Linked DNA regions of Mus musculus. The protein of the gene in region 2 interacts with the protein of the main gene of each other region in a pairwise test. Links are inferred from orthologs where the notes say so. Each region holds a gene or a part of one and is shown on either strand. Other genes may lie near its edges.

Region 1 (4,456 bases), on a different chromosome or scaffold from region 2:
ATTTCTTATATTCTTTCTTATTTTGGTTACACATATTCTGCTCAGAGATTCTACAGTAATACTTCTAGATGTACAATTCCAATTGTGCTTACTGTACTGTGTACAAATAGCAAAAACGATCAATGAATGGTATAAATCTTACAGCATTTGCTAGCAAAAATACATGCCAAAGTCACAATAAGCAATATTTTACCACAAATTAGAGAGCTTCAAATAATTTGCTTCTGTTTTTTTAATATCTTCATTCTACATTAAATTACTATCATAGGCTAATGTTTAAAATGCAAATAAACTGGACATCTGTAGGACAAAACTTGTTCACCCAACTGTGAAGGCTGATACCTGTTTCCAAAAATCACAATAAATGCAGAATAAAGAGAAGTGTTTGCATGCAACACCTTTGAGTGAAACAGTATTGATTCCCACCATTCAAATCAGAGAAGGAAGGAAATCAAAAGAAGAAAAGAAAGGAATGAAGGAAACAAAGAGGGGAGAGGGCAGGCTGGAAGGGAAGGGAGAGGGTGGGGGGAGGAGGAGCAGGGAGGGAGGGAGGGAGGGAGGGAGGGACTCCACCTTAAAATGCATCCTATTAGATTTATAGGTAGACAGATTTAAAAGAATCAAAATAAAAGTAAAGCACAATTTTGTGTGTTTAAAGATTTAAGAGCCATTATCAAAAATAAGATACATTTTTTTTCAAGGTACAGAAACGTAATTAGGATGGCTGAGAGCCCAGCAGCCTCTCAATGGCCGCGTTGATGTCGCCTCCTGTTGCTATTAGGGCCTGCAAGTTTGCTTCGCGGTTTAAGAACCCCATGGCGTTGAGCTGTTCCAGTTGCTGCTGAAATCTCACTTCAGGATTCGGCGGCTGTGGAGGGCTTCCTCCAGTGAGAGCCTGCACCATTTGTTGAATGAACTGCTGGTTGGGTCCAGATTCCGAGGTTGGACTTATGGTTTCAGTAGGTGCAGAGCTGGACACAGTGGTTGCAGGCGGGATGCCAGTGCCGGTGGAGCCGGGGGAGCTTGCAGGGCCAGTGGGTCCTATAGGCCCGATGGGGCCTATGGGGGTGAAAGGAACTATAGGGCCGATGGGCCCTATGGGAGTGACTGGGCCCACAGGGGTTATGGCGGTTCCCAGCACTCCCATCCCCACACCTGGAGCGAAGCTGGGAATGAGGCCAGGTGCTTCAGTGGCTAGAGTCTGTAGCCCCTGCTGGATCTGCATTAGCGCTTGCATCGCTCTCGGGTTTGACATGGCCGCGATGGTTTCTGGATTCTGCATCTGCTGCAGGAAATTCGGGAGCTGTGGACGCATCTGCTCCTGCAGCTGAGGATTCGAAGTGAACAGCGGGCTACTCAGCATCATCTGGGCCGCCATATCTGGATTCTGGCTCAGCGACTGCATCATGCTCCGCATGTAGGGCGCAGACAGCATATTCTGAATCAGCTGGGGATTCTCAGTTATCTGCTGCAGCAGGCTCTGCATTCCTGGGGTGCTGAAGATGCTAGCCACGTAATTAGCTGCAGCCATGGTGTTCCCGGCGGTGGTGCTGCTGGAGCTGCTGCCAGAGCCACTGCCACTGCTTGTGGTCGTGGTGGTGGTGGTGGTCGCAGCCGTCTGGGTTGTTGGCGGTGGTGCCCAAGGATTGGGCAGCGGATCACGATTCTCCGTGCGGGAGGGCTGAGTACCTTCCCCTGAGGTGGAACTGCTCCCCACCGTGGCAAACGGGTTGCCCCCAAACTGCTCCTGTGCGGCATTCAGCATAGGTTCTTGAATGTCAGTGTACATGCGCCGCAGAGCATTGTAGCCACCTGGGATGCTTTCGAGATTACTGAGAGCCAGGTCTTGATTTCGCATCATCTCTTGCATCATGGCAGGATTCCTGGCGATTTCCAGCGTCTGCCTCATTATATCTGGGTTGTTCAGTAGGTGGCTGATTTCTGGGTTTCTCTGGATCAATTGTTGCATCTGTGGATTGGCCATGATGAGCTGCCTCATCAGATCAGGATTCGAAAGCATGCTCTGAACAAAGGGATTTTCCATGATCTGGATCATCATCTCAGGGCTGGCCAGGAGCTGCTGCTGCATCTGGTTCTGAAGCTCGGTGAAGTTGGGCGAGTTCAAGCCCAGGTTACTAAGGCTGGAAAGGCTTCCCAGCCCAAAGGAGCTGCTATTCGTGGTGGTAGGTGTGGAGCTACTCCTGGGAGCCGATGATGTCGTCGCCGCCGGCGCCGCCGCCGTGGTGGTGGTCGTGGTCGTCGTGCTCGTTCCCGCAGTCGTGCTGGGCTGCGTGGTGGCCTGGCCCTGCGGACGGTTCTGGCTTTTGATAACCAGGTGAACAGTCAGTCCATCATGGATGCCATGCTGCATCAAGGTATCTTGATCTTTCAGGATCTTTCCGGCGAAAATCAGCACGAGCTGATCGGTCTGCGATTTGAAGCGTTTGGAAATCGCTTCCTTGAACTGCTGCACGGTGCTGTTCTCGGGCACCGCGAACTCCTCCTTCTCTTTGGGGGTCTTCACAGTGACTTTGATGATTTTGGGCTCGGCCGGCGGGCTGGCCGCGCCTGGGGCCGCCGCAGGGCCGCGGGAGGGGCGCGGGGGGCCGCTGCTCTCGCCGTTCTCAGCCATGGCGGCCGCGGTGACGCAGGCTCACAGGGAAGGCGCTGGCGAGCGAAGAGGGCGCGAGGGAAGGAGGTGCCGCAGCAGCGGACTGGGGCGGCCCGGCGGGCAGCGCGGATCACAGTACCTCAGAGTTGAAGGCTGCGGCTCCTCCCGGTCGTCGGCTGCGCACTCGGCTCGGCGTAGGCCTCGGCTGAGGGCTGAGAGAGCAGGTCCTGCAGGCCGTCTCCGCTGCCGCCGCCTTGTGATCTGCCCGCGCGCACTCCCAGCGACTCCTGCAGCTGCGGCGCCCGCGCTCCCGCCCCGCCCCGCCCCGCCCCGCCCCCGGCCGCGCCCCGCCCCCTGCTGACGCGGCGCCAGCCCAGCGAGCGTCTCGCGGCCGAGCGCAAAACTCCTGCCCTGCAGAGGAGGGGGGGCGGAGGGAGGGAGAGGGAGAGGGAGGGAGAAATAAACAAAGAGAGGGGGGAAGAGAAGGAAAAGGAAGGAGGCTGGAGAGAAAAGCCAGGGGACCAAGGCGAGGCGGGCGAGGCGAGGGGGGAAGGGAGGAGGCCAGGAGGAGGAAGAGGGAGGCAGCTTCTTTAGCAGCCACTGAAAGACCAATGGAGAATGTGGGTTCGCAATCTGGGAGGCAGTGAAAGGATGAAAGCCTGAATTGAACCGATCCCAGGCAAAGGACGAAAAATGAATAGTAAAGAACTCTGACAAAGCAAAAAGGGAGAATGAGCGCCCGGTTGGGGGAAGGGAAGGCATGGCGGGAGCGAGCATTTTACAAAAGAAGCCGAGAAACGGCCAACAGGCTTCTGAAAAGATGAGGCTCGCTCCTAATCAAAGGGATTCAAATAAACACAATGAGATTTTTCCTTCGGGTTTATCATATTGGCAGCGATAAAAAAAAAAAAAAGAACGTTAAACCTTGTTGACCAGGAGCCGAGAAAATGCACTCTCATGCTAGTCGTAGTATGAATTGTTGTAATGGGGCAGTTTGAAAATACAAATGGACATTTTAAGGATTTGCACCTTTGTTTAGAAAGACCTAATAATCAATTCGAAAAGTATATATAAACAACGTGGCATTTTAAAAAATAGCGTTTAGCTAGTTAAATGGGTCTGTGACAGGAATACTATGATTTTGCCATACAATAAAATAATCCCTGTGTCTAAAAGATGGTGGCTAATTCATGTAGTATTACATGTCTCTAAAAAATACATTAAATGCACTGTAGTTAGGAGAAAATAATAGACGATATTTGGGGTTATTTTTTATGGTTTTCTTAACAAATGGAAACAATACATGTGTGTAGGTGTCAGCATCAAAAAGCTTGTAGACTGTATGTGTGAAAAAAATCTGAAAGGCTATACTCCATTATGATAAAGGTAATTATTAGTAAGAGCTGAAATTGTAAATAATTCTTATTTTCTATTTTTATAAGATTGTGAATTTGATGAATAAATATGCATTGCGTTTATGATTTTTAAAAACTACAAATATTATTTTCAGACAAGAGTAAAGGTAAAAATTGACAGGCACACAATAGTCGTGGCAGAAATTAACATAATCATTATGGATTAAATAAAGAAAACAAAAAATGGAGTATTACTGTTATAGAAAACCTGAATTATAGAAGAAATTATTCTGAAATCATTTATTTCTCTTGCTTTGAACACAGAAAATCCTTTTCCCATACAAAAACCTAGAGATGATTTAACAGCATTTCAAAATCATTACGTCACAGTACCTTAATAAATCTCAGTGTAAAACAAAATACAGGGCCATTATACCCATGACTAGTACAAAAATCATTATATATGCAAGAGCTCATATAGATATAATGT
Region 2 (3,989 bases):
AGCACCCGACTGCTCTTCCAAAGGTCCGAAGTTCAAATCCCAGCAACCACATGGTGGCTCACAACCACCCGTAATGAGATCTGATGCCCTCTTCTGGTGCGTCTGAAGACAGCTACAGTGTACTTACATATAATAAATAAATAAATAAATTAAAAAAAAAAAAAAAGAAATACTTAGCCAGGCGTGGTTGTGCACACCTTTAATCCTAGTATTTGGGAGGTAGAGGCATATGGATTTCTGAGGCCAGCCTGGTCTACACAGCAATCTCTAGGACAGCCAGGACTACATAAAGAAACCCTGTATCAGAAAAAAAAAGAAAAAGTGAAAAGAAATACTTTCTTAGGTATATGGCTGTCTTATTTTTCTCACTGTAGTAAAATAACTGACAAAGCTTTAAGGGAAAAAGGCTTTGTTCTGACTCATGAGTTCATGGAACTCTGTCATGGTAGGAAAAGCCTAGCAACAAGACTTAATCTTGTCTGTGTTGGTGGGTCTGTGAGATCACTGCTCACATTGTGCTAACAGACAAGCAGCTGAGAACTAAACTGGAAAAACAGAATGTTAGTAACTTTCTACTGCACTGACCAAAGCTACTTGGAGAAAAAAATAAGGTTATTTGGTTTATAGTCATCAAGGGAAGCTAAGAAAGAAACTGAGGCAGAGACCAGGGAGAAACCATGCTTCCTGGCTTACTCCCAATATGGTGTCTTCAACTTGCCTTTTTAGACTACCCAGGAACCACATGCCCAGAGGTTGCACTGCTCAGTGGTCCAGGCCCTCCCATAGCCATCATTAATTTAATTTAAAAGAAAAACCTCTGTAGATCTGAGTCCCCACAGGCCAATCTGGAGGAATTTTCTCAATTGTGGTTCTCTCCAAAAACTAGCACAAGATGGCTAATAGGCTCCAATTAAAGGGTTTTTTAAAACCTGCCAAACAATGTCATAAGGGGGTCCAAGTATCCATACACATAGGTCTATGGGTGATAGTTACAGCAACAATTAAGACTATTCAAGTTTTTAGTGACACAAGAGATCTTTCATAACTTAAGAAAGTAATTTTTTTCAAGCCTGATGAGTAATTTTATTGTCTTGATTTAATAGGGACAGCTATTCTAATTAAGAATGGCTTTACCAACAAACACAGACCAAATGGGCTTAATGTTTGTCTGTTTGAGCTATAGCACCATTTAATTAATACTGGCACTTAGGAGCAAAGTCTGTTTAGAGCATTGGTTTTGGATCTCTGTAGAATTGGGTTTCTTCAACCTGTAGAAAAGTGTAGTGGACTTGAAAGTGAATTAATGGAGACAGTTTTAACTTGGAGCACACACAGTAGACTGGATCAGTCATTCTCTTTTGCTTTTTTCTTTTGCTTTGTTTTTGAGACAGCCTTCTGTTATGCAGCCCTGGCTGGCCTAGAACTCTATGTAGATCAAGCTGGAGTAAAACTCAGAGAGATCCACCTACTTCTTTGTCCAGAATACTGATTTCAGTGTCCTACCACTCCAGGCATAGTCATTCTGTTTGTATTATTCCTGATTACTTTGAAAACTCTGTAAGGAAGCAATGGATGTAATTTCCTCCCTAAAGCTCACAGTAGATGTCTCTTGTAATGTGTAACAAGTTTAGGCACAGTATGGGTTTGATCCTTAACATAGTCTGTTTTTCTTTGCTCATTTTAGTTGCTTTCAATGCTTATAATAAATTAAGAAATCAAAATGAAATAATATGAATGTTTCAGTGCATGTTAGGAAAAAAATCAGTTTTCATGCTTTGGTAATGAGATAACAGGGAAACTTTAAAAAAAAGTTTTAGGTATATGAATATTTTGCTTGTGTGTATTTAGATTAACATTAACACTGTTTCACTTATGTGAAATTTTCTGATTTCTTCTTTGCTCCCTCAGGTGTGTGATCTGTATGATGGACTTTGTTTATGGGGACCCAATTCGATTTCTGCCGTGCATGCACATCTATCACCTGGACTGTATAGATGACTGGTTGATGAGATCCTTCACGTGCCCCTCCTGCATGGAGCCAGTGGATGCAGCACTGCTTTCATCCTATGAGACTAATTGAGCCAGGGTCTCTCGTCTGACTTCAAGTGAACCATCAGTTTTGGTGGTTTTGATCTTTTGTCACTGAGCCCAAAGAGCCAGGGATTAGGAATTAAGATCATGCACAAAAGTTTCCTAAAAATTCCTGGATGGCTGCAGATGTTGAGGGAAGTATGTGATATTTTAGAAATTTAGGGGGAAAGTAGGATGGATGGTATTTTTATGTAAAGCCTTGACCCAGTGTTTAAAATATAATTGTTATTAGACCTTGTTCTTGCTCCAGTACATAGGAATTGTGTAAAGTGTTACAGCAACTGTACATGTTTAAATTGTGTGTGTTGAAGCTTAGGAAAAAGATAGTTGTTATTTTTCCTAAATGAAATAAGTTTCTTCTCCCACCCAAATTCTTTTCTGAAAAGTTACTGACATTTGGGTCAAGGTTTTATTAAAAGCTACATTTTATAACACTGGCACAAAAAAAAAAAAATAGTAGTTTTAAGCTTGTTTGCACAGTTCTTTTTTTCCATTGGAAATGGAATTCATTGCCTTAGGTCTTTTTAAATAGTGTATTATTATCGTTGGGGCTGGCTCTATGCTTGAAAACCAGTTTATTTATAACCTGTTGTAAGTGCTATATTCTGTTTGCAGTTAGGAAATGCAGAATTCACAGTGATCTCCTAGCTTGTAAGCAAACTGAGATGCACTATCCCTTTTCTATTAAGAATGAGTTGATGTGTCAGGAAACAAGGCTAGCAAAGTGGATTTGATATCCCTTTCCTTGTGTGTCTTATCTTATTGTTTTGGTGGTTAATATGGTGATAATTGAAAGTCAAGTTGAAATTCAAATATTAATATTTCTGATTTGTTGAGCTTTGAATTATGCCACCATGCTTATATAAAAACGAAGGTGGCACCATGATGAAACTTAAAGAAACAGTTTCTCATCTGTAACAGTTTTGATTCTCTTTCCTGTGACCTCTTTCCCCACTGTCTGGAACCATAGCAAAAGGATACTGCATCTCTTGTTACTGTAGTGCTGAGGTTATTGAAGTTACAGAAACACATCTGGTGTGTTTCCTAGAAAAGTACCTGTTCAGTCTTGCTAGGTGACTGACAGGAGAGGCAAATGTGTTATGTTTTGCACACCAATGCAGCAGGGTTTGTATAACCACATGACTTCATAGTTGTGATCTCAAAGGAACTTCTCCTTTATTTTTTCTTGCAATTAATGTAAGAATACTCTAAATCTCTGCACTTCTGAAGGATTAGAGGTAGAAATGGTCTAGTAAAGTGTAATGTTTTATTCATTTAGCATGTGTTTATTTTCCTTATGTTCTCCAGGTGATTCGTTCCTTCCACTCAGTGATATTGTGGTTAAAAAATGATGAGCAGAAGCGCTCTCCACCTTACAAATGAGAAATGTTCTTTTATATTGTGTTGAGTACTTGACTAACACTTTTTTACATACAAAAGTTTCTTGAAGGTTCTTCATAATTGCGGTGTAGAAGAAATTATGTCATAAATAGTTAATTGACATTGAGTTGAAGCAGTCATACATTGCTTAGATTCCCAGTAGATCCCATGATGGAAATATTTAAAGATGAACTTGGAAATACTGAAATTAGACTATCAGGTTCTGTTAAATTGTCTCGTATATCTTGCTTAATTTCTGTTCATTAATTTATATCCATCCAATTATAAAGTAAATTTGGAGGAAACAGCTGAAGTTGTGCCATATTTTTAGTGATAACTCTTTTTAAATTCTTATGTTTTCTAATTATACACTTGTGTGTCATCAAGTATTATAGTCAGACTTTTTTCCCAGGTTCTCAAAATTTGTAAATGTACTTTTCCCAGTCTTTCATGGTGCAGTCTAAGAATAACAACAATAACAAAACCCCCTTCTGTCTCAGATAGTACTGAACTGAGTG
Region 3 (4,666 bases), on a different chromosome or scaffold from region 2:
CTCCTGTAAGACCAATGAACTCATTGGTTCACCACGCTGGACTTGGTTGGAATCTCTTCTTTGGTCTGTCTTTGCCCTGTCTAGGCGAAACAGACATTTCTTTATATTTCCCTAGGAAGAGTCAGACTGCTTGCTCAATTTGAACATTTTGAATTTTGAATGCCTTTTGAAGGGCAATTAATCAATTGAAAGCATGAAATAATAGGGGTGGAGAGATGACTCAGTGGCTGAGAGCATGTATAGTTCTTCCAGAGGACCAGAGTTCCACTCCCAGCACCTATGTCAGTGTCTCAGCCACAGCTCCAGGACAGTCTTGCTACTTTCTGCCAAGCTTGTGGGCCTTAAGTCGTTAGAAAGGAAGCTGAAGACCTCAGTGGACTGTGACACAGAAAGAAGTATAAATGCCAAGTTGTCACAGATCTGAGGAACAGAAACCATAACCAAGGCAACTCTTTCTTTTTTTTCTCTCTCTTTTTTTGGTTTGGTTTTTCTGAGACAGGGTTTCTCTGTATAGCCCTGGCTGTCCTGGATCTCACTTTGTAGACCAGGCTGGGATTGAACTCAGAAATCCACCTGCCTCTGCCTCCCGAGTGCTGGGATTAAAGGCGTGTGCCACCACGCCTGGCCACAAGGCAACTCTTATGACAATATTTAATCAGGGCTGGCTTACAAATTGAGAGGTTCAATCCATTATCAAGGTGCCAGAGCATGGCAACATCCAGGCAGGCATGGTGCAGGAGGAGCTGAGAGTTCTACATTTTCATCTGAAGGCTGCTAGCAGAATACTGCTTCCAGGCAGCTAGGATGAGGGTCTTAAAGCCCACACCCATAGTGACTCACCTACTCCAACTGGGCCACACCTTCTAATAGTCCCATTCCCTGGGCCAAGGATATGCAAACCATCACAGACTCCAACTCCAGGTCCTCCTGTTTCTGCCTCTGCCTTTGCTACCTAAATGCCTCAATTACAAGACACACGTGTCCATGCCTAGTTCAGAGGTCCTTCCTTCCTTCCTTCCTTCCTTTTTGAAACAGAGTCTCTTACTAAACTCACTGTATAGACCAGGCTGATCTCTACCTCACAGAGACCCTCCTGCCTCTGCCTGCAATGTTTTGGGAACCAGCTGACCAATTGAGGAAGGGTCTCATATAGCCCAGGTTGACCTGGAACCAGTTATGTAGCCAAGGCTAGTTTATAATAATCCTTTTGTGACTACTTCCCAAATGCTGGGATTGATTATAGAAATGGGTCTCTTGTTGAGTTCTTCAGACTCCACATACCAAACCCAATAGGCATTTACTCATGCTAAAGTCTGGGGTAGAGGGCCCAAGCCAAGCACCCCCAAAACAAGAGGGAAAGCAATAACAGCCAAATCTCTACATTGCTGTTTTAGCCAGTACCATAAGGATATCACCCCCACCTTATTTAACCTTTACAAGGATTCTTTGAAACCACAGGTGTAACTCTTTGTTGCTGCTCTCCTTGAGCGTCACTTGTCTATAAGGCCAATATCTGCTGCTCATTCTATAAAATGCTAGTGTTGCAAATAAATGCTAAGAAAAATCTTTAAGGTAAATTTGTTGTAATTTCTTCTTTTAGCACTAAGAACTTTAGAAAGCTTTGTTAGGAGAAGGGTAGCCTAAAGAATACTGAAAGAATAATTACAAAAATTCCTGTTCGGATCTTGGTTTAGAGAGTTACTTGAGTAAGCAAGATTCTGCAGCCTACAGTAGCCGAGCGACCAAAAGCGGGAGGAGTTGCTACTAGCAGGCTAGGCGGGAACGCAGACGCAGCTCCCGGAAGTCCCGCCCGACTGAGCGGTTCCTTGGGGGAAGACGTGCCGTTTTGGCGGGGAATTGTGACGTCCGTGGAGCCCGGGTACCTGCTCCGGCCGCGGCCAGTAGACCGATTGGCAGGACAGCGGGTGCGAGCGGCTGGGTCTCGGGACCCGGGGGGTACCGCGAGGTGTTCCAGAAGCTGGAGCGTGGGCACTGGAGGGCTGCCTCCACCGCAACGGCGAGACGGAAGTCCCGCGGCGGCCCGAGCCCGGATTCCGGGCGGTACCGGGTGCTCTGGGAGCGGCGGTGCCCGGGCTTCCGGCTCTGGCAAGCCCGGCCGCCTCGCGCGTAGAGGCGGGTCCTCACCGCGTAAGAAGGGGAGCTGGATGAGCGCTTGTGTGGCGCGGGGAGACAGAACCACTCTCCGCCCCGAGGCCGCCGACTCCCGGAGGAACGTTCTTTCATTCCCTTGCTGGACTCAGGGCATAACTGTTGACCTGACATCACAGCTCCTGCTTGTCTCGGGCCCGTGGGAACTCAGGCCTTCTGGATCTCAGTCCGCTGCTGTGTGTGAGAGTAAACACCAAACGGCTCGCTGCTTTTCTCCGTTCTGGGCGTGATTAGGCGAAAGACGACTTTAGTCCCTTTCTGATTTTAACGTTGGGTAGGTCTCATTAGCATATGAAGATGGCTGCACCTAAAACCTCCATCCCTTCCTTAGCCGAATGTCAGTGCGGGATCTGTATGGAAATCCTCCTAGAGCCTGTAACCCTACCTTGCAACCACACGCTCTGTAACCCATGCTTCCAGTCCACTGTTGAAAAGGCCAATCTATGCTGTCCCTTCTGTCGTCGCCGGGTCTCTTCGTGGACTCGGTACCATACCCGAAGAAATTCTCTGGTCAATACAGACCTGTGGGAGATTATTCAAAAACACTATGCAAAGGAATGCAAGCTTAGAATCTCTGGACAAGAATCAAAGGAAATCAGTAAGTAAAATTAAGCATGTTTATTGGGTAAAACGGCCCAAAATCCCTTTGAAAGGGAACCATTTTTGTTTTTGCTTTTCGAGAAAGGGTTCCTCTGTGTTGCCCTGGCTGTCCTGGAACTCACAATGTAGATCAGGCTGGCCTCGAACCCAGAGATCCACCTACCTCTGCTTCCTGAGTTCTGGGATTAAAGGTATGAGCCACCATCGCAGGGCTCGAACCATCATTTTCTAATTTAAAGAAAAAGAAAAAGAAGGCTAAATAGTCTGAATCGTGAGGATTTGTGGTTTTATAAGCCCTGCCCACACATCAGTTAAAGTCAAGGACAGAGTTACATCACGTGTAGTAATGGTCAAGTTGTGTTCATCTGCTGTGAATTAGGGTTTTTTTTTTTTTTTTAACATTTTTTTAGACATGTTTTGAGACACAGTTTTATTACTGTGTAGCATGGGATAGCCTTAGCCTCACAAATACTGGAGTTGCAGGTGTGCTATTACACACCTGTCCTTTATAATGTAGTAGTATTAGTGAGGGTTGCCCTTTATAAGGGCAGAATGGTAAGTATTTTTGTGGACTATATAGTCTACTGAAGACACTTGGTGAGCTCTGCCACTGTAGAACAAAAGCCACCGTAGTCAATACATTAATTTACATTACCCTTTGTAAATGAAGATAGTGCCTGTGTTTCCATAAAACTTTATGAAAAACAAAAAGTGGGGGGGCAGATTTGTCCTGTCAATGAATCATGGCTAAATAGCCCCTGTCTTAGAATATCACTATTACTGTTCTTAAGAACAATTCTTTATCTGTGGAGGTAGCAGAATTAAATAATTGCAGATACTTCGGAAGGGAAAACTTGAGATTTCTTATTTTTTAAAATATGTATTTAGAGTGTGTGAATGTAAGTGCCTCATGTGCATGTGGTGCAGAAGAGGCAGGAGAACTAGAACTGAGTGACAAAGTTATAGGTTGTCATGTGAGTACTTGGAACCAACCAAACCCAGGTACTCTGGAAGAACAGTAAGCATTCTTTTTTTTTTTTGAGACAGGGTTTCTCTGTGTAGCTCACTCTGTAGAGACCAGGCTGGCCTCGAACTCAGAAATCCTTCTGCCTCTGCCTCCCAAGTGCTTGAGTTAAAGGCGAAAATTTAATTTTTTGTAACCCAATTGAAAGATTTTTTTTGAATATATAGTTCTGTTTTCAGGTGGCTCAAATATGAAAAGGAAGGCCCTTCCTCTTAATCGCCTTTGAAATATGAGAACATATTAGTACAAACTTGTAAAATGTATAAAAATAGTAGGACAAAAAGGTAGAAGTGTCCAAGTGACATCAATGGATGGATAAACTAAATGTACATATCTGCAACAGAATATATTGCTCTTTCATTAAATGGAATTGTTAAAGTTGTAATGTGGGATGAAGGCTTTGTTCTAGCTGTCATTACTCAGGTGATTCCATATGGAGAGCATTAACGACATCATTGGATCAGTCCACTGATAAGTTTATCCCAGCTGGGCTGTTAGGTGAGGCCTGTCTGGAGGAAGTATACTGGAAATGCCTGTGACAGGTTTGCTTTTTGACTGCAGTTGAAGTGGGCACCTCTCCTCTACCAAGCTTTTTCACAATCATGTTTCTGCCTTGCACAGGCATAAAACCATAAATGCAAACCTCTGAACGAGCCAAACTAAATCTTTTCTCTCTCAAGTTATTTATGTGATGCATTTTGCCATAGCAAAACACAGGAACACAATTGACAGGTTCCAGATCATGGAAATAAAGAGGTGCAGACCAGCCTAGCCTGAAATCATAACAGTCTACCTGTTTCTTCCTTCAAGCTAGGACAAGAGGCCTGTGTTACTGTAAGACCTGGGGTAGGCCACAAATCCCAGACGAGCCCC

The links.
Region 1: the proteins of Rnf11 (region 2) and Ubqln2 interact in binary tests that used the Homo sapiens proteins (3 or more experiments, as listed by UniProt). The link is inferred for Mus musculus from reciprocal best matches to the Homo sapiens genes RNF11 and UBQLN2.
Region 3: the proteins of Rnf11 (region 2) and Rnf168 interact in binary tests that used the Homo sapiens proteins (3 or more experiments, as listed by UniProt). The link is inferred for Mus musculus from reciprocal best matches to the Homo sapiens genes RNF11 and RNF168.

What each region holds. Positions count from the first base shown.
Region 1 is NC_000086.7:153,496,630-153,501,085, reverse strand, and holds the start of Ubqln2 (ubiquilin-2), read right to left. Parts: upstream 2,855-4,456; 5' UTR 2,633-2,854; coding exon 716-2,632; 3' UTR 1-715. UniProt on the Homo sapiens protein: Plays an important role in the regulation of different protein degradation mechanisms and pathways including ubiquitin-proteasome system (UPS), autophagy and the endoplasmic reticulum-associated protein degradation (ERAD) pathway.
Region 2 is NC_000070.6:109,452,342-109,456,330, reverse strand, and holds the end of Rnf11 (RING finger protein 11), read left to right. Parts: intron 1-1,908; coding exon 1,909-2,080; 3' UTR 2,081-3,474; downstream 3,475-3,989. UniProt on the Homo sapiens protein: Essential component of a ubiquitin-editing protein complex, comprising also TNFAIP3, ITCH and TAX1BP1, that ensures the transient nature of inflammatory signaling pathways. Promotes the association of TNFAIP3 to RIPK1 after TNF stimulation.
Region 3 is NC_000082.6:32,275,649-32,280,314, forward strand, and holds the start of Rnf168 (E3 ubiquitin-protein ligase RNF168), read left to right. Parts: upstream 1-1,812; 5' UTR 1,813-2,460; coding exon 2,461-2,767; intron 2,768-4,666. UniProt on the Homo sapiens protein: E3 ubiquitin-protein ligase required for accumulation of repair proteins to sites of DNA damage. Acts with UBE2N/UBC13 to amplify the RNF8-dependent histone ubiquitination.